3 linked regions of the Astyanax mexicanus genome follow. Each later gene encodes a partner of the first gene's protein in a complex. Links are inferred from orthologs where the notes say so. Each region holds a gene or a part of one and is shown in the gene's direction. Other genes may lie near its edges. The genes, in order: hjv, gdf5 and bmp2a.

Region 1 (10,940 bases):
AGTCTTGTTTGTGAAAATACACGAAAATCACAAATAAATAATGTAAACTTTTTAATAAATGTAATTTCAATGGAAATTGTTTCTGTCATGTAAAAAACATTGTATCTACATTTTATTGTTTTTCACTTTTATACCAATATCAAGGCTCTAAAGGTATTTGGAATAAATCATTTTACCGTGACTTCCACTGAAAGTTAAGAAGACAGTCTCCTGTGAAGTGGTAGATACAATGTTTTTGTGTGACTGACAGAATTTAATAGTATTGCAAAATGAGAGTGCCTATGGATAATAAGAAAAAAATGCATAACATCAAAAACAACGATAAGATATATAATTACATATTAATTATTCATTAGAATTGTAAATCTATACTACCATTATTACACATCTACTGTTTTTTTACTGTTTATTTCAATTTAAACTTATTAAAGTACTGATGGCGATATGGTCAAACTTTGTAGGTAGAGCTGGCAATATGGCAAAATATTATGTTACAATATTTAAAGATAATTTTATGGTACACGATATTTATCGTGTTTTGACATGCAGAAAACACTGAAATTTACCAGCAGTGACAGATTCTTAAAAACATATATTCAAATAATCTTTCATGCATAGTACAGTGATTTATTTCATTTTTGCTGCATGTTAAAAAATTAAACAAGATATTTTACACTATCTGTAGTAAAATGTACAGTTGTGCCAGTGTTCTTTATATGATATTCTTTATATTATATCCTTGATATGCTTACTGTTGAAACGGATCGTAGAAATTTATAAAAATATATATATTTTTAATAATATTAATAATATTATTACATACCACCTTCGCCCTATCTGACCTATTAATAATCTATCATACTGAAATCAGCCACAGGGAATGAAAGGATTTAGCTAGACTGGGATAAACATTGAGGCTACCTGCTGTCCAGTAGTGTTAGAGAGCACATGGTCAGGCTGCGTGGCTCCAGAAGAAGTTGTTAGGTCCTCGTGGTCTGGGAGGCCGGGACGAGTGCAATATTGGTGGGAGAATGGACAACAGTGCACCGCACCCCGTGCCTGCCAGGCCCCGGGACACACAGAGCACATGGGGCACATGAGGCAGTAACTGGGCACATGGGCAGATAGATGTGCAGTGTCCATCTGGAAGAAAAGAATCAGAACAATTAGAGTGGATAAAAAAAATATGTATTTATTTACTTACACTTAAAAAGTATCAAAACATTATTAAAGTGTTTTATGTACAGAATAATTTATCATTATTATTTTTATTTAACTGTGATGGATTAAGGCCTGCTTTTTAAGATTTTTTTTGGAGGGAACGCATGGTGGGCGGGGCATGGAAGTGGCCACGCCCCAGATAAAAAAAAAAAACATTTAAATATATAATTCTAAATCATTTTTAAATGTAGATGTGGAATAAAGACGTACATATAATCTTACTATAAAATAGACAAATTCGTTAGAATAAATAATAAAAATAAACAATATAATTCTATTAAAATTAGCTAGCGTTAGCGCGTACAGCACGTATTTCGGCGTGCCAACGTGCAGCGCAGTGTTTCCCGGACAACAGGTTGCCTAGAAACGTCGTAGCTGGCGAAGAGCCCGACCAAGCATTAGCATGGAAAAGTTAACTAGCCAACTTTCCCCCAAACAGGCTAAGCTAACGGCTTCTATACCTAACCAGCGCTCAGTTATACACCCACAACAACGCCGAATGTCTCAGACTCGAGCTAAAGCTAAAGAAAAACACAAAACAACGCTGAGACTCACCGACCAAAACACGCCAACACACGGAGAGGGAGAGGAACTGGCCACGGAGCTCCTGCTGCTGCTGCTGACCACCGCGCTCCTCCCTCAACTTCACAACTCAAACTGCTCCACACCAAACACAACGACACACGGCTAATAACCGCGTGTTTCTCAGCGCACAGCCGCTTCCACCTCCGCCATAGTCCGCTTGCACGCTTTTGGCACGCCTGCAACAACGAGGTTTCGGTTCTTGCCTTTCTTTCCCCCAAATCTCCCCGCACAATAGGAGTCCCGTCCCGCAGAGCCCCGCCCCCATCAGCGCAGTCAACAAAGAGTGCTCAGTGGAGCAGAGAGAGAGGAAGAGAGAGAGAGAGAGAGAGAAAGAGAGAGAAGTTGGGAGATAGAGAGGGGGACAGAAGTAGGGAGAGAGAGATGAAAAGAGAGAGGGTGAGGGAGAGAAAGGGAGGGTAGGGAGAGATGAAGAGAGAGAGGGTGAGGGAGACAGAAATAGGGAGAGAGGACAAGGGAGGGAGAGGGTGAGATAGGGAGGGAGAGGGTGAGGTAGGGAGGGAGAGGGTGAGGTAGGGAGGGAGAGGGTGAGGTAGGGAGGGAGAGAGAGAGAGCTGTAGAAGAGGAGGGGTGAACGGGAAAAAATAGCTATAATGTAGTGTACCAACAAAATAATTCATGAAGTGTGTCAAATAGTAGCACATCAGTGCTGAGTTCACATGGTTTTACTAATTGATGGATGGATGGATGGATGGATAGATGGAGTAGTGGGATCAAGTGAGTGAGTGGGTGGGGTGTATGTATGGATGGAGAGATAGATGGATGGTCAAATATGTCTGATTTAACACGGAGCAACAACAAATATGTCATTTGTTAATACCTATACTGATTATCTGGTTAAAGTAAACAGTGTAGTTCTTAGTTCAGTTGAAATCAGACTGCGGTTCAGTTTCAGTCTTGGTGTGATTCATTTGGACACCTTAATCTGACTCAAAGGTATACTAAAACAACTGCACCAAGACCACTGAGAGAAGATGGGGTCCATCAGATCTCAAACAAACTCAGGAGCAGTTTATACAATACCAGTCAAAAGTTTGGACACACCCCTTCTAATTAAATGATTTTCTTTCTTTATTTTCTACATTGCATTTCATATATACATATATAAAGTATTGAAGATAATTAAACTCTGAAGGAATACAATATGGTAGTATGTAGTAAACATAACATGGAATGGTCCTCTGACGTAAAGACGTTCTCAGAGATGCTGTGTACTTGTTGATTTTTTTTCCCTTCACACTGCATTCCAACTTCATCTAGATTTTGAACTAGGTTTAGGTTTAGGTGATTGTAGAGGCCATAAACCTTTTTTTTGTCTATCACATAATTCCATATGTGTTTCTTCATAGTTTTGATGTCTTTAGTAATAAACTACAGTGTAGAAAATAGAAAATTGATTAAAAAAAAACATTAAATGATAAGGTGTGTCCAAACGTGACTTGTATTATGGATGTATGGATGTATGGATGATATGCATGTTAATGTATTTTTGGATTATCAATGAAACTGAGCTAAAATAATATACAATATATTGACAAACCTCCATTTATAAAAAAAAAACAACACTAAAAAAGATTTTACTGTTATTTACAAATTTATATATTTAAAATAACTGATTTTTTTTGTTAATAACTGTTAAAATTCCATGTGTCCTGGATTGCCCATTTCATGTCTGTTTATATCTTGACCCAAATGAGTCCCACTCTCTTCCACCTGTGTACCACAGCAGCCTTAGGAACAAACTACGGAGGTTAGGGTTGGGTGCTGGTGTAGGTTTCTTAGGTTATGTTTAGGAGTAGGTTATGGATGTTAAATTTAGATTTAAATGGAAATCACAGAAATTAGGATTAATGTAGCTGTAAATTAAAGAGCTGTAGTTTGGTGTTAGATGTAGGTTACTGAGGTTTTAGTTTCAGGTTAGTGTTATAAGCATTTTTTATGAGCAGTTGTAGGGTAAAGGTTCAGTTGGAGTTATGCTATAGTTATATAGATTAGGCTAAGTTAGATTTAAATAAGGATAGGGTCGATTTAGCATTACTTTGTTACAACAATACAACAATAATAGGTGGTTCTCAGTAAAACAGACATTTGTGTAGGTGGAGGGCATTTGAGCTGTGTATGTGATGTAATTATCACTAACAGTAAGAGGCACTTTAAATCACTTTTTGCTAGATCTGATATTAGAATGTTCATGATAATGCAGTAAACACACTACAGGGCTGGATTTGTTCTGGTAAATAACTTTGGAGAGTCTGTGAATATTAAACAGATTTTCATGGATGTATGAATGTTAACTGTACTGCACAATACGTTCAGTTCAAAACACAAAGGTCATTATCAGAATACAGGGTCTCAAAACCTAAAAACAATGATTTAACTACTTACAATTATATACATATATTTATATTAAGGCTTTAGACTACACAAAAATATTTTTTCCACAGCTTAATCTCTTTTTATATTTATTTATATTTTAATTCTTGGCCTGGTTCTGTTTTAAAGATATGTTTTAATTTTCTAAAACAATTTTAATTACCATGATTTTACTACAATAAAATAAACAGCTAAAGCTTTATCTCAGCAAAGAGGTATAGAGACAATGTGATATAATATTAATATTATCAGTTGCTAAACATTATTCATGCATTCAGTCCCTTAAAAAAGAAACATTAAATTTATGAAAAACAATAGAACATTCCACTGGTTATTTTAATTACTTAATATTGCATATTAATATAATATTAATGATCTCAAAATAATGACTTAATATTGCAAAAGAAAGACCTGTTATCACAAATAAATGTTAGTATTTCAAAATAATGATTTTACATCTCAAGACATAATATCTGAAATTAATAACAATATCTCAGAATAAAGTCTTGCAAGATAACTATATAGCATTTAAAAATATTGCAAAAGAAAGACCTGGTATCACAAATGAATATTAGTATTTCAAAATAAAGATGATCATGAAAATAGCAACTTAGTATCTCAAAATAGTTAGATCACAAATAGCAGCTTTTATATCTGAAAATAATTAGATTGCATCTCAAAATAACAACTTAGTATCTCAAAATAATGACGTAATATTGCAAAAGAAAGACGTGCTATCACAAATGAATGTTAGATATACCATCAAAATAGCAACTTAGTATCTCAAAATAGCTAGATCACATCTCAAAATAACGACTCTCAAAGTAATGAGATAACATCTCAAAATGAATTAGTATTTCAAAATAAAGATAAAGCATCTCAAAATAGCAACTTAATATCTCAAAACAGATCACATCTCAAAATAACGACTTTGTATCTCAAAGTAATGAGATAAAATAAAGATATACTGTAGCATCTCAAAATAGCAACTAAGTATCTCCAAATAATTTGATTGCATCTTAAAATAATGACTTTGTATCTCAAAATAATGATTTAGTATCTCAAAATAATGAGATAGTATCTCAAAAGAGAAAAAAACTAATGGTGCTGGATTTGTTTTAATTAGTGGAAATGGGTTTCTATAGGTAAACACACACTTCTCACACTAAACTGAGACTTTTCTCAAGTGTAGGAAAACAGACACACGTGCTGCACAGACTGAGAATGGTAGCCTCGCTGCTGCTGCTGCGCGTGGAGCAGTCAGGTGAGTCTGAATACCTGTTTTATTCACCGAATCACTGCTTTAAGATAATACAGGTCATTAACAAACACTCAGCCCCCCTGTGAGTCGGGAGGGGGTCTGCAACAGCTCGAGCTGCTGCTGCTGCTCTGGTTAAAATAGCCCTCGCGAGCCCTGCTCTGCTCTGCTAGCTGTTCCTCTGCGCGCAGCTGTCGCGCGCGTGGCAGGTGCGCACTGCGCGTGAGGAAACCTCACACATACACACATACTTACAAACACTCATTCCCACACACACACTAACTCACACAGATACACACACACACTAGCACTGCTCTACTTACTCTCTCTCTCACACACACACACACACACACACACACATATACACACTCAGTTTGCATGCGTACAGGTGAAGAGCAGAACCAGTGCGTTGGTGGATATGAAGGGTTCCAAACTGGTGTAACGGAGCGAACAGTTCACCATTACCAGAGGTAAGTTCTGAACTGCTGATACTGGTGTAGTCAGTCTTCCATACTGGCGCGTGACTGCTGGAAACTGGGGCTTGTTTGGACCAGGTGCACTCTTAAAAATAAAAGTTCGACAAATGTCTATTTAGATTTTATATAGAAGACGCATAATTGCTTATATAAAGAAAAAAACATGTTTAAAATATGTTACAGACATTTGGATGTCTAAAAAACCTGTCTATCATAAATATTCCACACCATAAATGGCAGAAATGAGACTTTTAATATAGTTATTTAAAATTTGTAGGTGTAGTCATAAAAATAAAAATAAAAATAAAAATAAAAATCTATATTTTAAATATATACACAGCTCAGGCATAACATTTTGACCTCTTCCTTGTTTCTACACCTATAATTAATTTGTTCAACTCTTTGTAGTTCTATAAGAGTGTAAATTGTAGTTCTTATATTTCTACTTTCTACTTAATTGTCCTCCTTTTCATCCAGATCTTCAAATGGTCAGGACCACACAGAACCACCACAGACCAGCTATTTTTTGGGTGGTGGATCATTCTCAGCACTGACCTGGTAAAAGTGGGTTGTTCTGACATGAGTGGATCAGATACAGCAGTGCTGCTAAAGTTTTTAAACACCTCAGTGTCACTTCTGGACTGGGATAAGAATGAAGAACCTTTAGTAAAGAACATTTAAATCAATTAAAGATTCTTTAGAAATTTAAATAGAACAACAATGTCTGTAACAGTGATGTGTAAGTGTAAAGAACCTGTGTGTTTGGAAATAACTTTTACATCAAGCAAAAACCATTCATATTAGTTAACATTGGTAAAACATATCCTCTACATGAAGAGAAGGGTCTTTAGACCTTTAAAATGTTCCTTACACACACACACAGATCTACTACAGGTGTTTAATGGAGATGACAAATATCTCTGTGTCTGTTAGGACAGTGTGTATTTCTGTGCACTAATCTAAGATCAGACCTCATCTGCCAATGCTGTGATGTTGTGTGTTGTTTATAAAATTCAGCCTGAGCCAAGAACAGTATTTTTTATTGTATGAAGTTTGTATAAAAAGTGGTGTATAAAACAGGCCCAAAACCCTTAACATACCTTAAATGCGATGATAAAAAAATAGTAGACATACTCCCCTCATTTGAGATGACAGTGAGCTAGCTGTGGGCCCTAGTGGAACTGTGTTGATTTCTAATGTTAAGAAACCATTTATTTTCATCACATTATAATTTTAGCTTCAGCTGGATATCCATTATGGCATGCAAATATATACAGCAGGGGAGCTTCCAGATGTGCGTGTATGTGTGTTTTAACTTTGTAGGACAACCAGAGACAAAGAGGACCATACTATATCAGCACCAGCAAATTTAACTTAATTTTGGGATGTGCTGTTTACATAAAAAAGGTTTTATTTGTACATTTTAAAACAATTTATTTTTGTTTGATTTTAAAGATTGGGTGTAGGCATAAACAACAATATATACATTTCATATGGTGCCTGTAATAAACACAATATGTCAATTTTTTTGTGGGCATCCCTTCTAATGAATGCATTCTGCTATTTTAAGTTCCTCCCACTGTTGACACAGGTGGGCAAATGCTTACACATAACTTGCCTAGTAGATTGTAGAGTACCACAAATAGAATGGGACTCTCTGGAGCAGATGAACATAAACTTAATATTGGGTCTAGAGCAATTGTTATTGTTTGCAAAGAGCAATTGGGGCTACAACCTCAATTGTAGTCCTGCACAGACTCTGCCCTGCAAATTATTGTGGTTTCTCTGCTTTAACATGCCCACCGCCATTCTGAAAGCTTTTGTTCATTAACTTATTAGTTAGTTCAGGAGTGTTGGAAGAAGGGAAAGCAATAAAAGTCCAGGGCAGGGTGCCTGTGTTGAGAAACCCTGGGCTAATGGGGTATAAATCCCACTGACATTGAGATGTGGAACTGTGGATCTGTGTTCTCTGGAATGATGGAGCTCCATCCAATACTTTTGGGATGAGTTAGGGAGTTGTGGATGAGGAAGGGTGGTGATTATCCAACATCCTGGTCTACCTAACACTTTTTTGCCTAATGCAATCAAATTCGTACAGCAGTACTCTAGTACAATTGAGTAAAAAACCTTCTTAGACAATAGAGACAGTTACTCAAACAAAAGCAGTATAAACTATTGTATACGCTCACAATGAATATGCAGGGGGTTCAATACTTGTGTCAATAAACTATGTATCGTCACTGACACAAAACACAGGAGAAGAAAAACTTAAAAACAAAACTTACTTATCATAAGTAATTCTGGAGCTTTTCTATTTGTCCATTCATTGTGCAATTTGAAAACAATGTAAAGAACATCTGCTAGATTCACATTATGTTAAAAAATGTAAATGTGTGTGTTTCTGCTATATATGCTACATATGTTAAAATTTAGTTAGTTCTAATGGTTTCCGGAAGGGGTTAATTACAGTAATGTGTGAGTGCATGTGTGTGTGTGTGTGTGTACACCTGTGAATCAGACACTGCTGTGACTAGTAGGGGGAGAAACCCAGTGTTTGTCTGAGAGCATCTATTGTTTACTTTGTTGTTTCAACATCTCAGTGTCGTCTCTGTGTTCTGAAGCTAGCGGTGCTCCTCCCACAATGCTTAGAGTATCTACAGCTATTTTGTGAAAGTACATGCTCCAAAATACACAGCTAAAACATTCTCCACACACACACATCCTAACAAAGTGATGAAAGTGGACAAATGCGAGGTGCACAGGCCATTCACAAGCATTAAGACCCTCCATAGCAGAGAATGTCAGAAATAGCTGGGCCATCCTGCATGTGCAGAGACCCAGTTGAAATTAGATTGCTGGGGGAAGGAGATAGTCCATGTGGGGCAGAATGCTGGAAGCTCTACTGTATTTCCAACACCTGCCTTACCAGCCCTGCATTTCATCCCCAGCTATTTCAGACGGGACAGGGCAGGGCGGGGAAAGGGGAAGGTTTGAGGAGCAGGCCGGCATGGTGGGGGTATATTTAGAGCCCTCTATTTCTGCCCCGTAACTCGTAACTACACCCCTTCCCCCACCCTGTAAACCCCACCCCATTACTACTGTCCCCTCGGCCATCCCATCAACTGGAATAAATGTCATAGCGGGCTCTGTCAGCATTTCAGGAAAGCACTCTGTACATAATCCTTCACAAATGTGCGTCAACGTTTGTGCAGATTCCCTGAAGCTGAATTAGATCCACCCATAAATATATAAGGAATGGAATGTGCCGAGCAGAATCAATGGAAGTGCTCAGTAATGAACATTTCAGCCGTAATATGATATTTGAGACCGTGTACATTTGCCAAAGGATTTCTCTTCTCGTCACTATTTACCCCACTCCACCGTGCTTTTATAGCTATTTCTGAAATAATGTAAACTTAGTTTAGGAATCCACTTCATTTTAGAGCTTCTTGGCCTCAGCATAAATGACAGAGGCTTTCGAGTTAGCTGGCTTCCTCTCAGTGTTTGCTCTCCACTCTGCAAACAACGGAACAGCACCAAGGGTCCAAACTGCACCATGTCCCTTTCAACAAAAGCAACGGCACTCTTAAACCAGAATAGACCAGTGTGGACACTGGTGAAACAACTGGCCTTGTATTTTGGACATTGATAATGACACAGGTGGCCACTGTGAGAGATTGGGATCACAGAGCTATGCACATTTGATTTGGTCTGATTCTGATTTCCACAGTGGAGTCAAGCTCCAATCAAAGTCCACTGAAATGTGGAACATTAGCTCTGGGACATCAAACTCATCAAATGTGTTTATTATCCTTTCTCTGTAAAAAGGCACGCCAAAAGTCTAATTATGGTACGTGGCAGTGGACAAATAGCTATTTTATTAAATGTGAGGTGATAAAACTAAGAGACTAAAATGACCTTACAACCATGGAGTTCAGCAAAAAACAGTAGGTAATTCAGCCTTTTCTCAGGACGTCTGAGAAAAACACATACATGTTCGTTCCAGATAGGAATAAAATCACAGAGTACCCCCCATAAAAGAGAAAATTACCCTAGGACCCCCTGACAAACTAATCCTGTCCAGATGGGGCTTTACTCTAATTCTGGTTTCAGTACTACTACTAAGTTGAAAACCTCAGCATCATTAATGGTTAGACCACTGGGTTGCTGATGAAATGATGATGTTGTGGGTTCAATACCCTGGTGTAGGAAACTGCCTCGGTTGGGTCCTGAGCAGTGTATTTACTGCACAGATGGGTTAAAGGTGGAGATCATATTAAATACTGTTGTCTTGAGAAACATTGTATGACAAAAAGTATTAGATCACCTGCTCATTCATTGTGTTCTCCAAAATCATGGGTATTAAAAAAAAAAAAGAGTTCTTCCTGGTTTTGTTGAAGTAACTGATTGAATTATCAAGAGAAGAATTTCTACTAAAAGGGAAATGAAAGTGGAGCATTGATGTTAAGATTTGATTGCATTCATTCAGCAACAAGAGCCTTATGGAGCTTTTCCACTATGTAGAACCTGAACTATGTGACTCGACTCTCGACTGCTTTTTTTTTTGCTTTTCCATTAGGCAAATTTGGAACCTGGTTCCTGGATATTCATTATATCTGCTTATATGTGGTTCCAGAAACTAAAGCATAAAAGGTGTAATCTTTCTTCAGAGATCATAATTACATTATGTGACTTCAGCATTCTCACTGCTGGGAAGATGACATATTGGCAGTGTTTTGTGACATCATTCATGACATATTGAGAGGTGGGGGTTATGACAGTAGAAAATGAACCAGGTACCATGTACCAAAAAGCCAGTAGATTCAAATTGTGCAGGTGCAATGCAGTACAACTATCCTGACCACCTGACATCATCCAGATTCCCCAACTCATCCCAAAAGTATAGGACTGAGCAGCATCATTTCAGAGTTTTTTTCACAGTTATGAACAGGTCCCCTTTAGCCCATAGTTTCATGTTAATATTCTTTAGGCAACACTTTGCTACAGGG
Region 2 (10,940 bases), on another chromosome or scaffold:
AATCAGAACATAGGCCTCCAATTTTTTAAAAAACAGAGATCCCCCTTCTTTGGTAAAAGAGATAAAACAGCCCTCTGACAGCTCATTGGAAGTACACCAGCTTCAAAACTAGCCAGCAAAACTTCAAACAAGTCCTTCCCAATAATTCCCCAAAAAGTCTTATAAAAATCAATTGGTAAACCATCAACACCAGGTGCTCGCCCAGAAGAGAGCTGGTAAACAGCCTTAGTAACCTCCTCAAAAGATAAAGCAGTGTCCAGTTCCTGTTGCTGCTGTCCATCCAGGTGAGGTAGATCCTCATGAAGAGTCTCAATGCACTGCTGATCCGGAGGGCGGGCCGTAAACAACTCAGCATAAAAACCCACAGCCAGCCTCTTCACCTCTACCAAGTCTGTCGTAACTGTCCCATCCTCCTTACGAACAGAGACCAGCGTCTTGTGCTGGGAATTAGACTTTTCAAGATTAAAAAAGAATGCAGTAGGGGCATCCATATCCTGCACAGACACAAACCTGGACCGAACCAAAGCTCCCTTCGCCTTTTTATGTAAAATGTCACTCAGTTCCTGCAGCTTCACAGTAAGTTCTGCCCGTAAATCCACCACATTTTGTTGTATCGTTACATTGTGGATTCTGGTAATGTCCTGCTCCAGCACACCAACTGCACGTCTAAGATTGAAGGTAGAGAAAGCAGTAAACTCCTGGCAAAAGACCCGTATCTGGGCCTTTCCCACTTCCCACCATTGCATAAGACTGTCAAACATATACTTTTTTCCAACCCACTCTGCCCAAAAATGTTTAAAATTTTCACAAAAAACTTTATCTTGCAAAAGTGTCCTGTTAAAATACCACATACAGCTTGTAGGAGACTGAAAAACAAAAGAAAACTCCACAGTACATAAGTGGTGATCAGAAAAAGAAGTGGGCTGAATCATAGACCGGCCTACCATGTTCCTTACACTATTTGAAACATATAATCTGTCTAAGCGTGCCGCAGCCACTCTCTGATCCGTAACTTTAATCCAAGAATACTGTCTGGTCGTGGGATGTTTTTCCCTCCATATATCTATCAAATCAAAAGTTGATATGATGTTTGCCAGAGTACGAGCAGACTGAGGATGAGGCTCCTCACCGTTCCTGTCATGTACAAAATCCAAAGTACAGTTCTAATCCCCACCCAACACAACTGTGTCTTCCGAGGAGAGTGACTGTAACAACTGACACAGTCTATCAAACAGCTCACTTCTATCTGGTCCCCTGTTTGGAGCATACACATTAATAAAAACAAAAACATGATCATAAACCATCGCTTTCAGCATAAGCAAACGCCCAGCCACAACTTCATCAACAGAAAGAACAGACACTATAGAGGACTGGGAGAAAAAAAAACCTACCCCAGCACTAACATTTGAACCATGACTAAGATAAAAATCCCCTTTCCACCATAACCCCCAATCAGACACAGAGTTCTCATCACTATGTGTTTCTTGTAGAAAGCACACATTAAGTTTCTTAAGATTAAAAAATTCAGAAAACACAGCCTGTTTACCCCGGTCTCTAAAACCGTTCACATTTAAAGAGCCTACTTTAAAAACTCCCATACAAATAGAAGTAAGAAATAGAGAGAGAAAGTAAAACCAGAAACAGAGAAAGAGAACAGGAGAAGACTTTTCCCCACGTGATCTGTGCTCAGACCGTTTTGTTTTTTTGCTTTTCTTATAGCAGTAACATGTTTCTTTAGCCGGTAATGATTCCTTCTTGGGAGAATGTCTAGACCCACACTCTTCTGCACCATCAACACTGAACAAACAAACTTGTCCAGATCAGGAAAATAATCACTCACCTCCACAGTTTTTCCTTTAGTCTCATCCAGGAAAGAGTTTATCTGTTCCACAGAGTACAGCTGCTCATAACTGGACTGGCTAGCTCCAAAATCAGTGACCTCAGACATACTGTCCTCCTCCATGTCCTCCTCCAGGGACACAACCGAACCAGACAGAGACTCACTCCGAGCACCCAGCTCACCACTCTCCTGAGCACCCAGCTCACCACTCTCCTGAGCACCCTGCTCACCACTCTCTTGAGCACCCTGCTCACCACTCTCCTGAGCACCCAGCGCACCACTCTCCTGAGCACCCAATGCACCACTCACCTGAGCACCAAACCCACCACTCAACTGAGCACCCACCTCGCCGCTCTCCTGAGCACCCACCTCACCACTCACCTGAGCGCACACCTTACCACTCACCTGAGTGCACACCTTACCACTCACCTGAGTGCACACCTCACCATTCACCTGAGCACCAACCTCACTACTAGCCTGAGCACTCACCTCAGTATTCACGGGAGCACCCGCCTCACCACAATCAGCCTCATTAATACCCTGGCTAACCTGCTGCTGATCAACCCCACTATCTGAAACACCTCTTCCCAAACGCTCACTTACCTTAACTCCACGACCGACCTCCGAAACTAGAGCTGTGGATGAACCCTCACCTGGATCCTCTGGAGCGGCGTCCGCAGCGTCCCGTTCCGGGGCGCTACCGGGTCCGGCTGCAGTAGAATCCCGCCTCTGCTCATTAACCGGGCACTCGAAACGTTTATGCCCGACAGTCCCACACTGAAAACACCGCAGACTGTCCGTGCTGGCGTAAACCAGGTATGAGCCTGCACCATCAGAAACGCGGAAAGAGGCCACGAGCGTCTTATCCGCGCTATTAAGGAACATAAGCACCTGGCGCCTGAAAGACAGGACATGTTTCAGTCCTGACTTCTTGCAGCCCAGCGGTATGTGGCTGATCTCGCCCGCAAACTTGCCAAAGCGACTCAGCTCCTTAGCTATGGGTTCATTGGGCAGGTACGGAGGAACATTTGAAATAGTAACCTTCGTGGCGGGAGTGGACAGAGGAGATACCGACACATAGCTCTCCTTCACCCAAATCCCGCTCTCAACCAGCCCGTTAACCAGTTGTTTATCAGTCAGAAACACCACCACGGCTTTGTTCATGCGCGACGCGGAGTGAATCTGTTCGCAGCCTATTTTTTCACCCACCGCGATCAGTACATCCTCCACTACAGCTTCAACAGGTGGAACACACCTGAAACCATGCGAACGGGAGAGAGCCGGCGTCCCCACCACGCGGCGAGACGCCATCTCTCACCCGCCGCCAATATCCCGTTATATGTAGTGAACAGTGAAACCAGTGAAACTTTAGAGATAAGTTAAATCCTGATAAACAGGGGGAGAAAAAAAAGAGAAACAAACAAAATAAATAAATAAACAGAGAAAAGCACACGCTCACCTCCAACACTCAGCCACCCTCACCCACATTCACTCCGCCCACTCCCAGCATGCAGAGAGAGAGAGAAGAGAGAGAGAGAGAATAAAGGGAGACGCAGAGAGAGAGAAAAAGAGAGAGAGAGACGGGGATAGAGAGATGGGGAGAGAAAGAGAGAGAGGAGAGAGAGAGACGGGGAGAGAAAGAGAGAGAGGAGAGAGAGAGTATAAAGAGAGACGCAGAGAGAGAGAGAGAGAGAGAGAGAGCAGAAGATGTGAAGGAGCAGAGCGAGGACACACACACACAGGCGGGTAAAGTGAGGGAGAGGGTGATGCTCTCTCTCTCTGTATGAGATGTGTGGGGGTCAGTGCGCTGCTCCGGACCCTGCTGCTCTACAGCTGCATCATGTTCCCGCGCAGAGCGGCTCTAAACCCGTGCGCGCGCTTCCTCGGACTCCTTCATGCTGCGCGGCCGCAGCGTGAGAGCGTCCGCGCGCCGACGACCACCACTGCACCATGAGAGCAGCGAGCCGCTTCCCCCCGCCGCTCCTCCTCCTTCTTTTGCTGCTGTTGTGCGCGAACGCCGCACCAGAGCCGCCACGCGCCGGACTCAGACTCTCGCGCATCCGCGCCGGGGCTCTGGCGGCCCTGCGCTCTCCAGCGCACCACCAATCAAACTCGGAGAGCGCGAGACGGAGCGCGGCCGCGCACCAGCCGCAAACGGCGACGCGCAAGACAGCCAAGACCAGGGGCGCGCACGAGGAGAAGAGCGCGCGCGCTCATCCGCTAGTTACACCGCACGACTACATGCTGTCTCTGTACTGGTCCCTGTCCAGCGGCCAGGTGAACACGAGCGCGCTGCACGAGGCCGGGATGGCCAACACCATCACCAGCTTCGTGGACAAAGGGCAAGGTCTGTCTGTCTACATGTCTATCTACATGTCAGTGTTAAATCAACACTGTTAGTTTCAGGAACACATTGATACATTTCTGCTGCTTGTTGGAAAGAGCTTTGTGGAGTATTTATAAAGATCTGAGAAGTTGGAAAAATTTGTGGTGGCCAAACATTTGTATGGCTTTACACGGTCTATTACAGTATAGCCTACAATAATATCAGTTATATAGGGGTTAATATAAATTTTATGTATTCGCACACTCACTGTCCACTGACATGTTTATTTTGTTTTGTTATGTTATTCAGATAATGCAAGCAAGCACACTTATTACCTAGATACACAGTTCTCATACGCTGTTTTCCCATTATCAGCTTATGCCAGGTCATGGTACAGCGCAAACTGGTAAATAGCTGCAGGTTGATAATAGTTGTGTTTAGAGCATGATCAGCTCTGCAGGCTGAGGAGTTCTGGTTTTAATAGATGCTTGAAAGTAAACACTGGCTGGATAATCTTGAATGGAGGTGTTCTCTCCAGCAGTCAGTTCTTACCAAAACATTACTGTATAAATGTACTCAAACACAAAAGTTAAAGGGAATAAAGGTTATAATGCAAAAATATCAATTTAAAAGTATTTGACAGTAAATCACTCAATTTCAGAGTCCCTCCACTGCCGTCAGGGACTTTTCACCTCCACTCTGGCTCCTCACCAAACACCTGTGTCTTGTTATGCTGGTATTATCTCTGTATATATAGGTCCTGTCATTCCCTTTGGACCTGAATTGTTGTGGTTGTTTACCACAATGCCAGACTTTCTCTTGTTAGTGGTTTCCATTGTTTACCGTGTGTTCTTTGTTAAGTTGTCGTGGATTTGTACCCAGCGTGCCTTTGAATATGAGCAAGGCTGTCTTTACCGATTCTGTTCAGCTGTGTGGCCATGTGATGGCCATGACAAATGCAGATGCAAAAATAAAAACAACACACTGCTCTCAGGTCTTCTGCATTAGCAGGAAAGTTTTGGTTTAACTGAGGGTGAATAGTGGGAACCCAGACAGGTTGTATGTTCCACAGTGACAACCTAGTTTACTTTTATTTTTCTAACTAAACATGTATGACTTACTTACAGGCCATATAGGCTGCAGTACTTTTACTTTGTATTTTGGGGCAAAAAAGTAAGTGTTGCTGGGGGAAAAACCTACCCAATTTGAACTAAGCACCACAAATTAAACACTGTTAAATAGTGCTGGGCGATAAAACGATAACGATAGTTATTGAGGAAAATATTTATCGCGATAAATATGATAAGCTGGACGATAGGATTCGATTAACTTTATTTTCTATTTCCCGGTTAAGTAGCGCTGCAAACAGGCGCTGCACGCGATCAGGCAGCGCGCTAAACTGCCTCTGCTCAGCCCAGGTAAAAAAAACTTCCCTCCCCCCATCCCCCCACCCCCACCCCCTCACTCTGAAACTCACACAGCTCATCCACACAGCGTCGCCTCTCCCGTTTACTCCATAAATATCATTTATACGATAAATTCAGCTGAGCTACCATGGAACACTCAACTTCTAAATATGTGGCATGGAGTCTCCTCACCAAGATATTTAGAGAGGTCATCATTAGCTAAGGTTCCTTCACTGCTTTTTACATTCTAATAAACTAATGGGTAACGCACGTTAGCCGTGTTAATCCACTCTCCGTGTAAATTAACGTTAGCTTCAGCACGAGTGAGGGGTTAGTATATAAACACACAGAGAAGCAGCACTTTCCGTTTTTGTCCTAAACTTGACTTTATTCGTCCCACCTCCATTACAGGTCACTTGCTTTAAAATATTTAAATGTTAGCATAATTTAAATGCAACAAAACTTTTATTTTAATAAACATTAGCAGTAAATAATCTCAAAATAACAACAAATCTAAAATAGAAAAACAGTAAAACATATATAATACATACTTTTTATATGACCAAAATTTATGAGACTAAAACTAGACTAAAATGTGACTAAAACTAATAATATCTGATAGACTAAAATGTAACTACAACTATTATACATTTTAGTCAAAAGACTAAGACTAAACTGTATCAAAATCACCTGTTAAATGAACACTGTGATATACTATTGTATTTTTCTTTATGTAGTTGCCTGCGGACCTGTGTGGATGTATAATGACTTTAAAATTAATTTAAAAGCTGTCTGAGCACCTTGTGCCCACCTGGCAAGATGTGGACATCCTAGTGTCTGTCCACAAGGCTCTGAGCCTGCTAGTAATTTTGGCCATAACGCCCTTATTCTGTCACCTATGAGTATAAAGAAACCTTAAAGTGTAGCAGAAAGTGATTTGATTTATATCGTAATACATATCGATATTGGCAGATATGAAAAACTATATTGTGATAAGATTTTTTTCAATATCGCCCAGCCCTACTGTTAAATATTGTTACTTGAGGAATGAAAAAGCATAAATTATAAACAGGGTTCATAACTTTCTTCTCTGTTGTAAATTACATATTACAACATATGATATATATACATTTACATTTAAGGTATTTAGCAGACGCCCTTATCCAGAGCGACTTACAACAGTGCTTCGATGTTACTTTAAATATTCAAAGTTAGTTTGTAGACTAGGAAATACGCAGAGATACGCAGAGCTTGATCATGTTTAAAACCCTAGGAACCTTTTTTGTTTTTTGGATTAGTTTAGGAACTCTTTGAAAAGATGTGTCTTCAGTCGACGTTTGAAGACCGTGAGTGACTCTGCTGTTCTGACAGCCAGTGGAAGTTAATTCCACCACCTTTGCCTTGTAGGCCAGTGTCAGGGTTTTGAATTTGATGCGGGCGGCAACAGGAAGCCAGTGGAATGAACGCAGCAAAGGAATCACATGACTGAACTTCGGAATATTGAAGACGAGTCGTGCTGCTGCATTCTGAACACTGTGATTTATATATTCTAAGTGAGAAAAGTATCCTACATTAAACTTCGAAATTGCCTATCAAGAGTAATGATGTAAATAATGATGATGATTTCAAAAAGGTTATGTCTACAGGTGAATATAATTATGATTTGAAAACAAAACAAGGAAAAGTTCTTTGAAAAGCAAAGATGAGCAGTAGCTCTCCAGTTTATAACATATGTATGAGAATGTTTAAAAATAATGTTCTTCGAATCGGGAGGAATTTCAGTGTGTAAGGAGTAAGGGCACCTATGAAAGTTACATTCACTAATACCACTTACCACGATACTGCAGAACAGAAACCTTATGTTAATCCAGTCCAGAAGAAGCGTCAACTTTCTGGGCTCTATGGCATCTGGGATAGACCATCACAAAGTAGAAATGAGTATTGTGGTCAGAAAAATCAGTATTGCAGATATTTTTTTGAAAGAAATGAATGCCTTCCACCTGATGCTGGCTGGGATGGGCTCTAGTGCCCAACACCCAAAACCACCCCACCCCCGTGACCCTTACGGATAAAGCGGGAATTGACAATGAATGAATGAATGAATGTCTTATCAGCAAGTCCGAGTGCAGGTCAGTCATGGTATGGGGGTGTGTCAGTTTACTTCTGTGATGCACATTAATGCAGAAATATACGTTGAGATCTTAGAGCCACATATGCTGCCTTTACGACTACATCTGTCCATGAAGTTTTCAACAAGACAATATAAAACCACTTGTGCTGTACACAGGGTGTGAATTATACAATGATAATTGTCAGCTAATGTAGCACATACCACACAATGCTACTGGCTGTTATCTTTCTCGCCATTCAATTTCAATTCATATTCTACAGGATCTCCCCAATAGAAATCATTTGTTATTTAATTCTAAATAAATAGAAAATAAGAATGTAACTAAAAAATTACTGTAGATAAGGATTTTGTCCCATCTCATGCACATATTTTGACACTGGGACTACAATATAAAATGTTAAGGGGAGATATAGGAATGCATTTACATAGCTTGGCTAATGCCTTCAAAAAAACTGGCTATTGTTATTTTTCCTAGTAGCCTAATAAAAAGATAGAAACTAAAAACACCAGTCTTAAACACCAGTTTACTGTAAAACTACTCATCTGAGTAACTAATTCCTCATGAGGTCTACTGCAGCGTATGAAGTTTCTTCTTAAAACACATTAACATTTTTCCTGCATTAAAACAAATTTTCTCTATGTTAAAACACAACTCCCTTTTTAGACTGTAGTTAATAGATGATAAAGTGTTTTAAGAGTTTTACACATTTCTGCTTAGGGTGTTCAGAAATCACAATCAGTTCCTATAAAACAGAACATGGATTCCCATTTGGATGTTCTGTTCCACCTTAAAAAATAGTATCTACAGCTTGAAGCTTGTGTGCAGCCAAGGGCGTAGGAGCGGGTTTGATATTGGGGGGGACACATTTGCCAATATGAACCCAAGTCCACCCTGTAGTTTCCTAGAACAACCTAAATTACTTTAAATTAAAAGTAAATTATTATTATAAGGTGATTTTACAACCTAAACATGTTACTCCACGTTACAGTTACTGTTGTTAGAAAAAATTATGCATGCAATGTCTGAATAATATACATATGACAGAAATGATCAGTTATCAGCTAATATTTAAAATAATATAACAGATTTGGTTATTATTATTATTATTATTATTATTATTATTATTATTATTATTATGTATTGGCATGTCAATTCTGTCATATCTTTACGTTTTTTACGTTTTATTTTTTTTCTACTGAGAGCTCTTCTTAAGATGGTGTCCTTTTATGTAAAAGAATGTAACTTTACGTTTCATAGAGACATGTGGTCACTGTGAACTACAAATGAACAGAAGTCACGTTACAGCTTTGTTTCTTAACCCTGTTCTTACATGTTATACTGCATATTAACACTGTTCTGCATATTCTACAGCTTCCTCTGCTTTAAAGGCATTTAATAGAGTAAGTGGTGGTGTGATGTGTTTAATACACTGCTGATATACATAATGATTAATTTAGGTAAACTCAGTAAATGACTGTTTATTAGCTGATCAGGTGGATCAGGTGGAAAACACTATTTTGGGGCAGTGATCAGGGTTAAGAAACTGCTTTAAACTACAAACATAAAGTACTGCACTAAATTCTGTCTATCCACTACATCTGGCTTCTAGCCAACTAGTTTTAAAATGAAATAGTGATTAGCTGATCAGGTACAGGTCAAGTTGAACATTACATATATAGTTTTTTTTTTCTTTAAAAAATCTAATCTAGCTAATTCCAAAGTTAAGGTAACTCACTAACACAGCTGTAGTTTATTAATCACAGTGGGTTTAATCTGTGTGCTGATTAAGAGACATGTATTTTTAACCAGCTATCAGAAACATATCATCACAGTTTACGTGGTTAGCCTACCGTTACCTTTCTTTTAAAAAAATCTCCGTATATCCAGATCTGTTTTTAAATCAGCTGCTGCTGCATCCCGATCCCGCTGCTAAATCTCACCTGCATTGGTAACCAAGTTGCTTTGTTTCTTTTTCAGATGAGCGTTTGCCCCTATTAAGAAGGCAGAGGTATTACTTCAACATCAGCTCTCTAGAAAAAGAGGGATTACTGGGAGCAGAACTTCACATTCTCCGAAAGGCATTTCTGGACCCTCATAAAGCCCTGCCCTCTGGGGGTGCAACCTCTTTGAGACTATATACCTGTGCGACAGGTAAGCAGAGGGTAACACTGCTTCATTCCAAACCATTTGAGGACCACAGTGTCCCAAAGTGGGAGGTGTTTAACATCTGGAAACTGTTTAAGAACTTCAAGAACATGCCTCAGCTTTGCTTCGAGCTGGAGGCTGTGGACCGAGGGCGACAGTTGGACCTGAGGTCAGTGGGCCTGGGTCGCTCCGGCAGGCAAACCAAAGAGAAAGCCTTCTTTGTGGCGTTCAGCCGCACGAAAAAGCACGGGCTCTTTTACAACGAGATTAAGGCCCGTTCAGGGCATGACAACAAGACGGTGTACGAGTACCTCTTCACCCAGCGCAGGATGCGGAGAGCACCGGTGTCTCGTGCCAAGAAACCACTTGCCAAGAGTCCGAAGCCCCGTTGCAACCGCAAGCAGCTGCACGTCAACTTCAAGGAGATGGGCTGGGACGATTGGATCATTGCCCCTCTGGAGTATGAGGCGTTCCACTGCGATGGCGTCTGCGATTTTCCTATACGCTCACACCTGGAGCCCACTAATCATGCTATTATTCAGACTCTCATGAACTCCATGGATCCTCGCTCAACGCCGCCCACCTGCTGTGTCCCGACCAGACTTAGTCCTATTAGTATTCTGTACATTGACTCGGCCAACAATGTGGTGTACAAGCAATATGAGGACATGGTAGTAGAGAGCTGTGGCTGCAGGTAGCAGAAAATTCCAGGAGTTCATTATGTTGTTCTGGGAGCCAAAGTTGGAAGTGAAAGCATGCTGGAATTTAAATAACATTTGACCCTTTTGTACATTCTATTTTCCCTGTGGCAAACTTTGTTCATTTCATCATCTTAGACATTGGACCAGTTAAAGACATTGGATTCTGCCAGTGATGTAAAATAAGTGACATCCAATCCTCATCCAATCCAATCCTCAGCAAATGTAAAATAATTAGAATATACAGGATTGTGTTTACTAACAGATCTGTTGTAAATCTATTTTAATATATCGTTTACACCCCCACCTGAACATGCCCCTTATGCAAATCAGGGATTTTAGTCAGTGGGCAGCAATAAATAAATAAATAAATAAATAAATATATATATATAT
Region 3 (10,940 bases), on another chromosome or scaffold:
ACTTTTACCCACTTTTCAAGGCCTGTTCACAACTCACTGGTTTCTATTTTTCACTCAGTGCTATTCAACTATTGGAATGTAGGCATAGAGTTCAGCCAAGAAACTTATCAGGAGCACACTAATGGATCAATCTGTTGTGTCTTGTCAGAGCTTTTAGGATTGCCTCTTGGAATGTTTCTGATAAAAAAACATTGTTTTTCCCAGTCCGAGAAAGGATGCAGTAAGTAGACATGAGGACAAGCATGAAAGGATTTCTAGTAAACAGCAGCTTCCCACTCAACACCAAATGCCTCACAACATCAGGCACAAGGCTTCAGACTAGGCCCACAAAACACTTTAGCTTTAGGTTTGCATAACATCACTGTCACACTAAAAACTCTCTGTATCTCTGTAACTGTCAGCTTTACAGGAGAAAGAAAAATCCCAACTCTCAGTGGGACTCAATGTAAGACAATTTCATTCAGAGCAATTTTGGAGCATCTCTATTGGTCCATTCATCAGGAACATATGGGAACATATAGGAAAATAAAGCCAGTTTTACAGCATAGGGTAGGTTTTTTCCTTGATTACCAGCTTTTTATCTAAACACCGTAACCATCAAAAAAAAGCTGATACCATTATTTTTCACAAGCAGGTTTTGCTAGCATGACAATTGGTCTACAAGCATAAATTATCATCTTACAGATATTACATTTGGAACAATAAAGACATGTTATTTAAAAATGCTGGAATTGTTATGGTAAGACAGTTGTAAAACAAAAAAATAAGCTATTGTAATTGCTGCAGTTCCCAAATGTATAACGTAATTTTTAAAGGAATTGTTGGTTAACAGATACAAATCTGTCTGAAAAAAAATATTTTCAAAACATCTTTATTGACAACATTAATATTACAAAAAATGAATGCAGTAATAAGGTAATTAGAAATTTTCTCTGTCAATGGCAGCAGGCAACAGCAGAAATGTATTAACGTAGTATTGGTGTGCTGAGTATCAAAATATAAAACAACACTTTACCAACAATTTTATTTGTATTATTAAATGTTATTTTTAAATATTTTTATTTCTTATCATTATCTCGTGGTACTCTTGCTGTTGAAACAACAATAGACATTACCATATTTCAAACACATTTCACCCTTGAAGGTTGGTTGTTTGCCAGCTGGGAAGGATAAAAAAGTTCCTTATTCCTAATGTTGACCTAGCTCTCTCAGTTCTCACAATGAAACCAAGAATAAAGGTAAAGCCAAAGAATAAAGGTAGCCAAGGTAAAAAAATAAAAAGGATAAACTAATTAGACCTTTACTCTGTCTGTCCCTGTCAAAGCAAACTGGAAGTGATGGGCTAATTGGATTTTTTTAGCTCCGTTCACACGTACCTTCAAACGCTCCTAATTTGCACAACAATTCAATTTATTCCTTGTCTAATCGTCGCGCCTTCGTTGTCTCGGCCAATCAAACGTCAGACCGCACGCAGGCGCACTTTTTAAATGATTAATCTGGACGCCTGCAGCCGGCAGACTCGTTAGCGTTCTCTGTTCAGTATCTGCTCACTATGGCGGTTTTTAGGCTTTTATTTCTGTCGTGTTTCTGCTCGTTTGGACTTATTGACAGCACGGAGGACGTGCAGGTTCAGGAGCAGCTGTTTTTAAGTTCTCTGGGTCTTTCCAGTCGGCCGAGGCCGTCAGCTCGGGGTCCTGTGCCCTCACTACTGTGGAGGATCTTCAAGAAAACCGACGAGAAGCGACCGGATACTGACCCGGATCCGTGCACGGTGCCGGAGTACGGAGTGAGGGGCAACATCGTCAGATATGTCCTGGACCAAGGTGAGCTTCCTGCCCCTGCCCCTGCCCCTGTTCTCACCACAAACCTCCCTGTGCCCCATTAACCCATCATTAAAGGAGAACTCCGGTGTAAAATGGACTTTTGGTTTAGTAAAACATGATAAAAAGTACTTAACATTGATGAATAGCACACCTCTGCTCTCCCACAGCGCTCCGAGATCCAGAAATTAACAATTTGTCCAAACACCCTTCAGACTGGGTGACACGGGGCAAAATCTTCCACAATAAATCGCTTTTTCCACCGTTATCATGGCTCAAAGAAGCTCCACAACTTATTGCTAGAATCCGGAGAGCCCTGACATTTAAAACGAGGCATTAATAACTTAAAAAGTAGACAAGAAGCTTATTAAAAAGCACTGTTTACATCCTATAACCATAGCTTAAGCTCTGCATAGCCTGCCTTCTGGCGCCGGCTGCTTTGCTATGCGGAGTGTGTGTGTGGATATATGTATGTTTTAAATCAAGTTATTTTATTATTTTTTTTATAATAAAATATATATATATAATTTTATTTATTTATTTTAAATTCTTAGTCAATTTCTATTAGTCTAGTTCTTTATATATGTGTATAGTTCTTAGTCAGTTGCTCCTCTAATTGGTTTACTTCTTGAATAGGTCATCAAATATTGCTAAAATGATTTTATTTACAGATGTATGCAAGTTTAATCATTCTTGTTTTGTTTTAAACTTTTTTTTATATATGAAACATGTGCATGATTACTGGTATTTGTATCATTTATCATACATTATAAAAAGAATAGCAAAGATAAAAAGGCATAGGAACATTGTATTGTTTTTAGTTTGTTTTTCCACTGTTGGTCAGTAAATATTCTGAGAAATACAGGATTTTAAATTAGTTTGAACCTGGAGTCTCAATATTTGCTACAATCCCTAGTGTAGCAGGGAGAATTGGTTTGATCACCTAGCTAGCCAACCACATCCTGCTGGGTTAAGAGTCTTTAAGCAGAATCCATATACTTTGCATTTGCCTACCTGTGTAACATGATATAAATTATTGGTGTTTGTTTATTTATTTATTTTTATATTTATTTATTGAATAAATATTGAACATGATCTGTTATCTTTCTCAACAGGTAGACTCATTTCTGACTCAATCAGCCACGGTGTGGAGAAGCATCTTTTTTTCAACATGTCTGTTCTGGAGGATGTGGAGCAGCTTTCTTTTGCCCAGCTTGAGCTGAAGTTCAAGCCAGACCTTTCCCACTTGTCCCACCAGGTTGGTCAGCATACTTTCAGCATGCACCTCTACAAGGTCTTGAGGACCTCACTGAAAGGCATGAGCCATGACTCTAGCCGCAGACTGCTGCTCTCCCAGTCTGTTCATTACACACACAGCACTACCGTCCACTTCAACCTGACCGACCTGGCTGAATGGTGGAGGAAGCCAGGCAAGAACTTTGGGCTGGTGCTTGTTCTGCAGTCTACTCGGCTAGACAACCAGCTGGACCCAGTGGACTATGACTCTAGTTTTGTGGGGGTCCCTGAACTGGTCACGTCACTGGTGGTTGTGTCTCTGAACCCTTACCAGTGTAGATCGAGGAAGAAGAGAAGTGCCTACTATGTGCCTGTGAGCCCCAGCAATGTGTGCAAGCCCAGGCGCCTCTACATCGACTTCAGAGACGTCGGCTGGCAGGACTGGATCATCGCGCCCCAGGGCTATGTGGCCAACTACTGCCATGGAGAGTGTCCTTTTCCACTTAGTGAGAGTCTGAATGGGACTAACCACGCCATTCTGCAGACCCTGGTCCACTCCTTTGACCCAAAGGGGACGCCTCAGCCCTGCTGCGTCCCGGTCAAACTGTCTCCTATTTCAATGCTTTACTATGACAATAATGACAATGTTGTCCTCAGGCATTATGAGGACATGGTGGTGGATGAATGCGGCTGCAGATGAGCTACATTTTTGTTTGTTTGTATTTTACGAATGGAAAATAATAAAAACTTGCCTTTTTTTAAACAAAAAATAACCTACCTTGTTTCAGATTCTTCATCCCATTTTTAGACATTTGTTAATTTAAATCCAAGGTTCAGTCAGTCCAATAAGCAAAGGTGGCAAATAACAAAATAAAAAAAAAACTTAAATTGTTTTTGACAAGTTTTACAGAGATTGCATGTTTGATTTATTAATTAATTTATTTTAAATTGCTGCTTTTATACATGCATTTAGGCCTCTTACTGTGTGCACTGCTGTTGGTATGGCCCCTGAAAAGTCTCAGTTTACAAGTATACCAGTACAGTTCAATCACTCGTGGTGTTTTCAAATCTATAAGGACAACAATGACTGTCAACACTGTCAAAAGTTTTCTGAATAAACTATATTTACCACCAGTAAATACCTAAACACCAACACAGTTAAACAGGAGAGGATTGTTTGTTAATTTTAAGTGGGTGGAGTACATTTTTAAAAGAGCAAAATAGAAAAATAGTGAACTTTAGTATTTTTAATTGTTTAATTTAATTCAATTGAGCTCAAAGTGTGTATACATTTATTCTCATTTTTAATAAAAAGGGAATAAAAAAAATTAGAGGCCCCTGTTTAAAGACATGCTTTTTACTTGAGTAATACAAATCATACTTCTACTATTTTTACTTGCATACATAAAAGTACAAATATTCAATTTTATGTACTTAAGTATGAGACTTGGCCACCTCTGCCAACAGAAAGAAAAAAGCTGAGGGCCGTTTCTGTTGGGAATCCTCAACATTTGGACCGAAGATGAATAATTGAGAAACTGAGGTTTGCAGTATTTTGAGGCTTGAGGATTAAGGAGACCAAAATGATCACTGGCCCTCCAGGACCAGGATTAAAGAACCCTGCAGTGGTGCTGTGCTGGTGTGGGAGATGTACTTCTCAATTCCCTCCACTGGTTGGTGCTCTATAACCAGATTTGGTCTATTGTAGTGGAACACAGCAGCAATTGAGTTAGTAAAAATAAATATTTCTGGCTGAATTCTGCTGTATTTAAGGTAGGGTGGATTTTATGATCCTAAGGCTTTATATGTAAGCTGTATTTTTTTGCTTCTTTTTAGGAGAGATAATGGATCATGAAGGGAGAGGAGGGAATTTCATCAGTCATCTCATGTGTTGGATGTACCTGTACCGTTTCAACCACTGGGAACCCGAGCACCACACCATTATTAATCCTTATTTGACAGCATGGATAGGGTGGTGTTTGATTTTCTTTTCTTTTTTTTTTTTTTCTTCCTTCTTTTCTTCTTTGCTCGCTGTGTTCATTCGTGACATCACTGAGCCACTAAAAGCCACATGGGCAGAAGGAGAGAGGAAGAGAAGGAGAGAGAGTGTCAGTGAGAACAGTGCGCACACCAGACTCCACCAAGCTCTCTCTTTCTCTCTCTATCTGTCTATAGGAGGAAAACCAGACCTTCTGCTGCTCTTCTGACTTGACTTCAGGAGGTCCATGCGTTTGGGAAGCTCTCAGAGATGGATGTTTTGGATGGAGGACCCTGAGATGGAACCAGCAATGATTTGAAAGGAAGTAGCCAATTACTGGTGCTGGGCAGCTGAGTTCTGAAGAGTTTGGAGTTCTTCTGCTGGACTTTCTCCTCTGGAGCTAGCAGTGCGTGCACGTAGTTAGGGCACGCGCGTACGCACACACGTTTACGCGCGCATACTGCATACACCCACCACAGCACTCAAGGTCTCAAAACACAGTTGGACTCGATTGGACAAGGTGGTGAAGGTAGACTACAACTTCTGGTACAATCTGGATTGATTCTTCAGTGGAGGCTTCTACATCTTATCTTCCTCTACTGATGGACAGACTGCGAGTGCTTGGTTAGAACCTGCTGAGGAGGTTCTCCAGTTCTTTATCTGGGACTATGACTTAGGGTCCCAACCGTCTACGATACGCTTGCGTGTTAACGTCCAGCAGACGTGAGCAGGATGAGGTCCAACTTTAGAAGCTAGAAGAAGAATAATAAGAAGAAGGACATAAAGGAGGAGGAGGACCCACAGTGACGGACATGGCTAAGTGGTACCGGAGACGCCAAGTGGACGCGCGCCTCTGCCCGTGCCCGTGTGATTAAGCGCCACCAGCCCCCAGGTCTTGACCGACCGGGCGCTGGGTGACCATGCGCTCCGCCGCGCTGCGCCGCGCGCTGCCCCTCCTGCTGCTGCTACTGGCTTACGCGCGTCTCGGGGGCTCCGCGGGGCTCGTGCCCGAGCCGGGCCGCAGGAGATACGCTGCGCCCTTGTCGCAGGACACCCTCAGCACCTTCGAGGCGCGACTCCTCAGCCTCTTCGGCCTCAAGCAGAGGCCCACCCCCAGCAGGTCCGCCGTGGTTCCGCGCTACATGCTGGACCTGTTCACTGCGTACTCCGCCAACGCGGAGCCAAAGCACGGCGCGAGCAGGCGCGCGCTCGGGAGAGAGTCCGAGAAGTCCGCCAGCCGCGCGAACACCATAAGAAGCTTTCACCATGATGGTAAGCGAGCAGAAATTGAAAAAAAAAAAAAAAACTATCGCGTTAGTGTTAATAATATAAACAAGGTCAGTACAATACATTATATTTTCATAGGGATCAAGATAAAAGTGCGAAAATAATAATTGCATCAAAAGAGAAAGCTCTACATGCTGCATACTAGGGCAGTACGATAAATCATATTTTTATTGTTATCATGATATGAGTTTCCATGATAAACCAAAAATCCCCAAAACTGCAATAATTGAAATCAAATTGCATTACATACAGCTCAGGACAAAATTAAGAGACCTCTTGTGATGAGTTTCTTTGATTTTACCACATTAAGAACCTCTGGAATATAATCAAGAGGAAGATGGATGATTACAAGCCAACAAATTAAGCTAAACTGCTTGACTTTTTGCACCAGGAGGGGCATATAGTTATCCAAAAGCAGTGTGTAAGACTGGTGGAGAAGAACATGCTAAGATGCATGAAAACTATGATCAAAAACCAGGGTTATTTCACCAAATATTGATTTCTGAGCTCTTAAAACTTTATGAATATGAACTTGTTTTCTTTGCATTGTTTGAGGTCTGAAAGCTCTGCATTATTTTGTTTTTTTTTCAGCCATTTCTCATTTTCTGCAAATAAATGCTGTAAATTACAATATTTTTATTTGGAATTTGGGAGAAATGCTGTCTGTAGTTTTTAGAAAAAAAAAAACAGCAATGTTAATTTTAATCAAACATATACCTATAAATAGCAAAATCAGAGAAACTGATTCAGGAAATCAAGTGATCTCTTAATTTTTTTTCCAGAGATGTTTATGCAGCAGAGAGATCTCTTTATTCTGGAGACAAATTGTATAAATAGATAAATTGTATTTTTATTGTTATCGCAATACAAGTTTTTTGGATAAACACATCCAAAAAGTTGCAAAAATGCAAACTCAAACTGCATTACCTGTGCAGCAGAGGGAGCTCTTCATGCTGCAGACTATGATCATGTGACATAGCAAATTAAGGTGGAGGTAGAGCTATAAGATAAATCATATTTTATTGTTTATTTATTGCTAAAAATGCAATAATGCTTTTCACATTGCATTACCTTCATTCCTCACAAGAGAGAGCTCTTCACACTGCGGACTATAATCATGTGACATAGCAAATTAAGTTGGCGGTAGAGTGAGGTCGAGGTCCATGGTAAAGATACAAACACACCAATCTAAATTACTACTTATCCTGGGAGAAAATAGGTAGAGAAAAAACTCATTTTGTTTATGGAGATGTTTGCGCAATCTTGGTTGTGCAGAAAACGCAGTGTCCTCACTGAAAATAAGGAACAGGTGTAGCCAGCCAGCCAGCCACCAACACCAACAGGGCAGGAGAAGGAACACGGGCAGCACATTCCTGCAACCACTCACAAACACAAATGTTCTGTTCTGTTCTGCTCTCTGAACACCTCTTCCCAATTCTTAGCCCAGTCAGGTTCTTTAGCATGCATAAATAGAAGACAAAATTATATATAAGGCATATATACGTATATACATAAATAAATATTAAAGTGACTGCACAGTTCAAACATAACTGTGTAATAAGAAGAATAAGCAGTTTGCAAACAAGTGGATATTTGCCATTAAACCATGCATTCATTTTACTTTCTGCAAATGTATTACCTAGACAATCCATATAGTCTTTCAATTAAAAGAAAGGCTTAAGAATTGTTTTTCAGAAGTGCCTTTGAACTAAATGAAATAAAAGCTTGATTTGTTTTGATCAGAAACATCTGAAGGTTTCGCAAACCTTCGCAAAAGAACACACACTGTAAAAAACGAAAGTTTTAAAATCCACTCAAATTTGAAACTTTTTAGATACACAGTCCTTTAGATACAACTGTGCCTCTTAAAGTAGGTAAAATAATCAGATAATAGTAGAGATATGTTTATTTAACGAAATGTACTTATGAGACTACCCTTAAAACACATTTCTGCCTGAAATAATCTGAAAACAGGTGAATATTATTTGCCTTTCAATAGAAATGCATTTGTCTTAATATTTAATATTGTATTTAATTACTATAGCAACTTAAAATAGTTACATATGAGTCTCTGAATAAAAGAAATGCATTTTGAGCTGAGGAATTACAATTTGGAAATGTCTTTGAACCAGTTTTGGTGGATTTGACACAGGGAACATGGAGGAATTAAACATTAGGAGTCCAGAGGGAGGTCAAGCTGCATTTGTGTTATTGTAATGAAGATAGTGTCACTAGCAAGAGGTCACGCTTTCTCTGTGACTGTAAACACAGACTTGGGATGCACTGCAAGAACTGGCAAATATTCAAAGTTCCTGTAATTAAGTGCATTACTTGAAGGGTCTCAAATCACCTTGTATCTCTTTGTTTCTTTGTATCATGAAGACAGATTTTTATATGTATTTCTTAATAATTTGAGGCAAAAAATGATGTGATATTTCTCTCTCTTTCTATCTTTTCTGTTGGGTTTTATTTTAGTAGGGCCTTCATTATAAGATAAATAAATATTAAACTTGTTTTCATCTCTTTTTCCTCCATATTTTTCAGAATCTACAGAGCAGCTGTTGAGTCATGGCAGAAAGACGACTCAAAGGTTCCTCTTCAATCTGAGCTCCATCCCTGGAGAGGAGTTTGTCACTTCAGCCGAGCTGAGGATTTACAGGGAGCAGGTCATGGCGGCCACCAATAGCAGGAGCAGCAGCAACAGCAGCAGCCTCGCTGGGCGCCATCGCATTAACATCTATGAGATCATGAAGCCTGGGCGTCCTTTGAAAGAGCCCATTACGAGACTCCTAGACACCAGGTTGGTGCAGCACAGCCTGAGCAAGTGGGAGAGCTTTGACGTAAGTCCGGCCGTCTCGCGGTGGACTGCCGAGGACCACGCCAACCACGGCTTTGTGGTGGAAGTGGTTCACCCGGAAGACGCAGACGGGGACTACAAGAAGCACGTCCGAGTCAGCAGATCGCTGCATGACAGCGAGGACTCGTGGCCACAGATGAGGCCTCTGCTGGTGACGTTCAGCCACGACGGGAAAGGACATGTGCTCCACAGCCGGCAGAAGCGGCAAGCGAGGATCAACAAGCCGAAGAAGAAGCACAAAGCCAACTGTAGGAGGCATTCCCTCTATGTGGACTTCAGCGACGTGGGCTGGAATGACTGGATAGTGGCTCCTCCAGGTTACCACGCCTTTTACTGCCAAGGAGAATGCCCCTTCCCTTTGGCAGACCACCTCAACTCCACAAACCACGCGATAGTACAGACGCTGGTGAACTCAGTGAACACAAACATTCCCAAGGCCTGCTGCGTGCCCACAGACCTGAGCCCCGTGTCCCTGCTCTACCTGGACGAGTACGAGCGGGTGATCCTGAAAAACTACCAGGACATGGTGGTGGAAGGCTGTGGGTGCCGCTGATGGACCTTAAGCAGAGACTTTTTTTTTTGCGAAGACACTTTATGACCCAGTACTACACTTTTATTTATGCTAAAGTAAAAACACATATTTTGGAAACAAAGTATATAAAGCTATATTTATGTCCATTAATGGGAAAATAAATATTTTTAATTGGAGTTCAGCTAATGTATTTTTCTGATGTACATTTCAACTAGTACAGTTCCGCATATGAAGTATACAGCTCAGATTTTTTGTTTTTGTATTTATTTCTAGCATAACCACTTTTAGGGAATAGTTTAAATAGTTTATATATCTATTTATGTGTACTCAAAGCAAAAATATATATACATATAGATGTGTAAAACATCCACAACACACCGTACCACCATAGATTGGTTTATGTGTCTCCTATCATTTCTAGAGTGGAAAGCAAGGCTTGTGTATTGTGAGTTGATGAAGATTTAAACCTAATGTTAAGCGTTTCAGTGACAGTCCCATCTGCCTTAATTTTTTTTAGTGTCACATGAAGCACTGAATAGGTTGGATTTCCAGAGAGAGATTAAGCCTAGTCCTAGACTCTAGACCTAGTATCTCTTCCAGTGGAGAATCCCCATTCACTGTGCTGTATGCTCTGCGACTAGGCTTAATCCCTGTCTGGGAAACCAGTCCAATTGGTTCAGTTAGTTGAGTAATCCAAAAGCATGCACTCCAGTTGGGCCTTTCCTGCAGTGAGAAGCAGTGGTGAATGTGAATGCACTTATCTAGAAGCAATGTGACAGGTAGTTGACACTGAATGCTCAGGAACTTTGGAACTGTTGGTGTGCGTGAGGTCTACAGTGCGAGCCTATGAAATCTATCAATAGCCTTACAGACAGTTACTATATGTCCTTCTCATTCTGATGCATGGGTTTCCCAAAGGCTAATCCATTCCCCTTTATAGACCCAATCCCATTTCTCAATTGTAACCAACCCCTTGTTTTCACTCTTAAGTGTTGAAATCCTCCCTCTAAGAAAAGGGACACTGTGATACGTTGTCAAAACTGTTAGCGATGCTCTGAAGGCAACCCTGTCACCTGTTTATGGCCACTCCTTATTCATTTGTGATAGGGAGCTGAAGTTAGCTAGACATTCACTATTTTTTGTTCAGATAATTTGCCTGTTCCACCGTAAATCATGCAGGAGCCGCAGTTGTAACTGAATGTAACTGCTGCATCATTTAAGGTGGAATGT

What was found.
Region 2: the proteins of hjv (region 1) and gdf5 are in contact, whole or in part, in a crystal structure (PDB 6Z3L), measured with the Homo sapiens proteins. The link is inferred for Astyanax mexicanus from reciprocal best matches to the Homo sapiens genes HJV and GDF5. Residues at the interface, in NP_001366281.1 of Homo sapiens: Arg95, Arg98, Gly99, Leu101, His104, Ser105, His108; in NP_000548.2 of Homo sapiens: Met412, Trp414, Trp417, Phe478, Asp480, Ser481, Lys488, Tyr490, Met493.
Region 3: the proteins of hjv (region 1) and bmp2a are in contact, whole or in part, in a crystal structure (PDB 4UI1), measured with the Homo sapiens proteins. The link is inferred for Astyanax mexicanus from reciprocal best matches to the Homo sapiens genes HJV and BMP2. Residues at the interface, in NP_001366281.1 of Homo sapiens: Leu40, Asn43, Tyr46, Val47, Tyr86, Leu101, Ala102, Ser105, Ala106, His108, Gly109, Ile110, Asp112, Leu113; in NP_001191.1 of Homo sapiens: Phe331, Pro332, Ala334, Asp335, Leu337, Asn341, Ile344, Val345, Leu348, Ser351, Val352.

Annotation. Positions count from the first base shown.
Region 1 is NC_064413.1:41,789,241-41,800,180, forward strand, and holds the start of hjv (hemojuvelin), read left to right. Parts: upstream 1-5,610; 5' UTR 5,611-5,833; coding exon 5,834-5,925; intron 5,926-10,940. UniProt on the Homo sapiens protein: Acts as a bone morphogenetic protein (BMP) coreceptor. Through enhancement of BMP signaling regulates hepcidin (HAMP) expression and regulates iron homeostasis.
Region 2 is NC_064412.1:43,766,585-43,777,524, forward strand, and holds the start of gdf5 (growth/differentiation factor 5), read left to right. Parts: upstream 1-3,425; 5' UTR 3,426-3,790; coding exon 3,791-4,187; intron 4,188-9,681; coding exon 9,682-10,547; 3' UTR 10,548-10,940. UniProt on the Homo sapiens protein: Growth factor involved in bone and cartilage formation. During cartilage development regulates differentiation of chondrogenic tissue through two pathways.
Region 3 is NC_064421.1:16,601,949-16,612,888, reverse strand, and holds the start of bmp2a (bone morphogenetic protein 2), read left to right. Parts: upstream 1-5,057; 5' UTR 5,058-5,954; coding exon 5,955-6,306; intron 6,307-8,865; coding exon 8,866-9,731; 3' UTR 9,732-10,940. Other genes in the region: gdf3 (protein DVR-1), read left to right, coding at 1,553-1,823, 2,936-3,756. UniProt on the Homo sapiens protein: Growth factor of the TGF-beta superfamily that plays essential roles in many developmental processes, including cardiogenesis, neurogenesis, and osteogenesis. Induces cartilage and bone formation.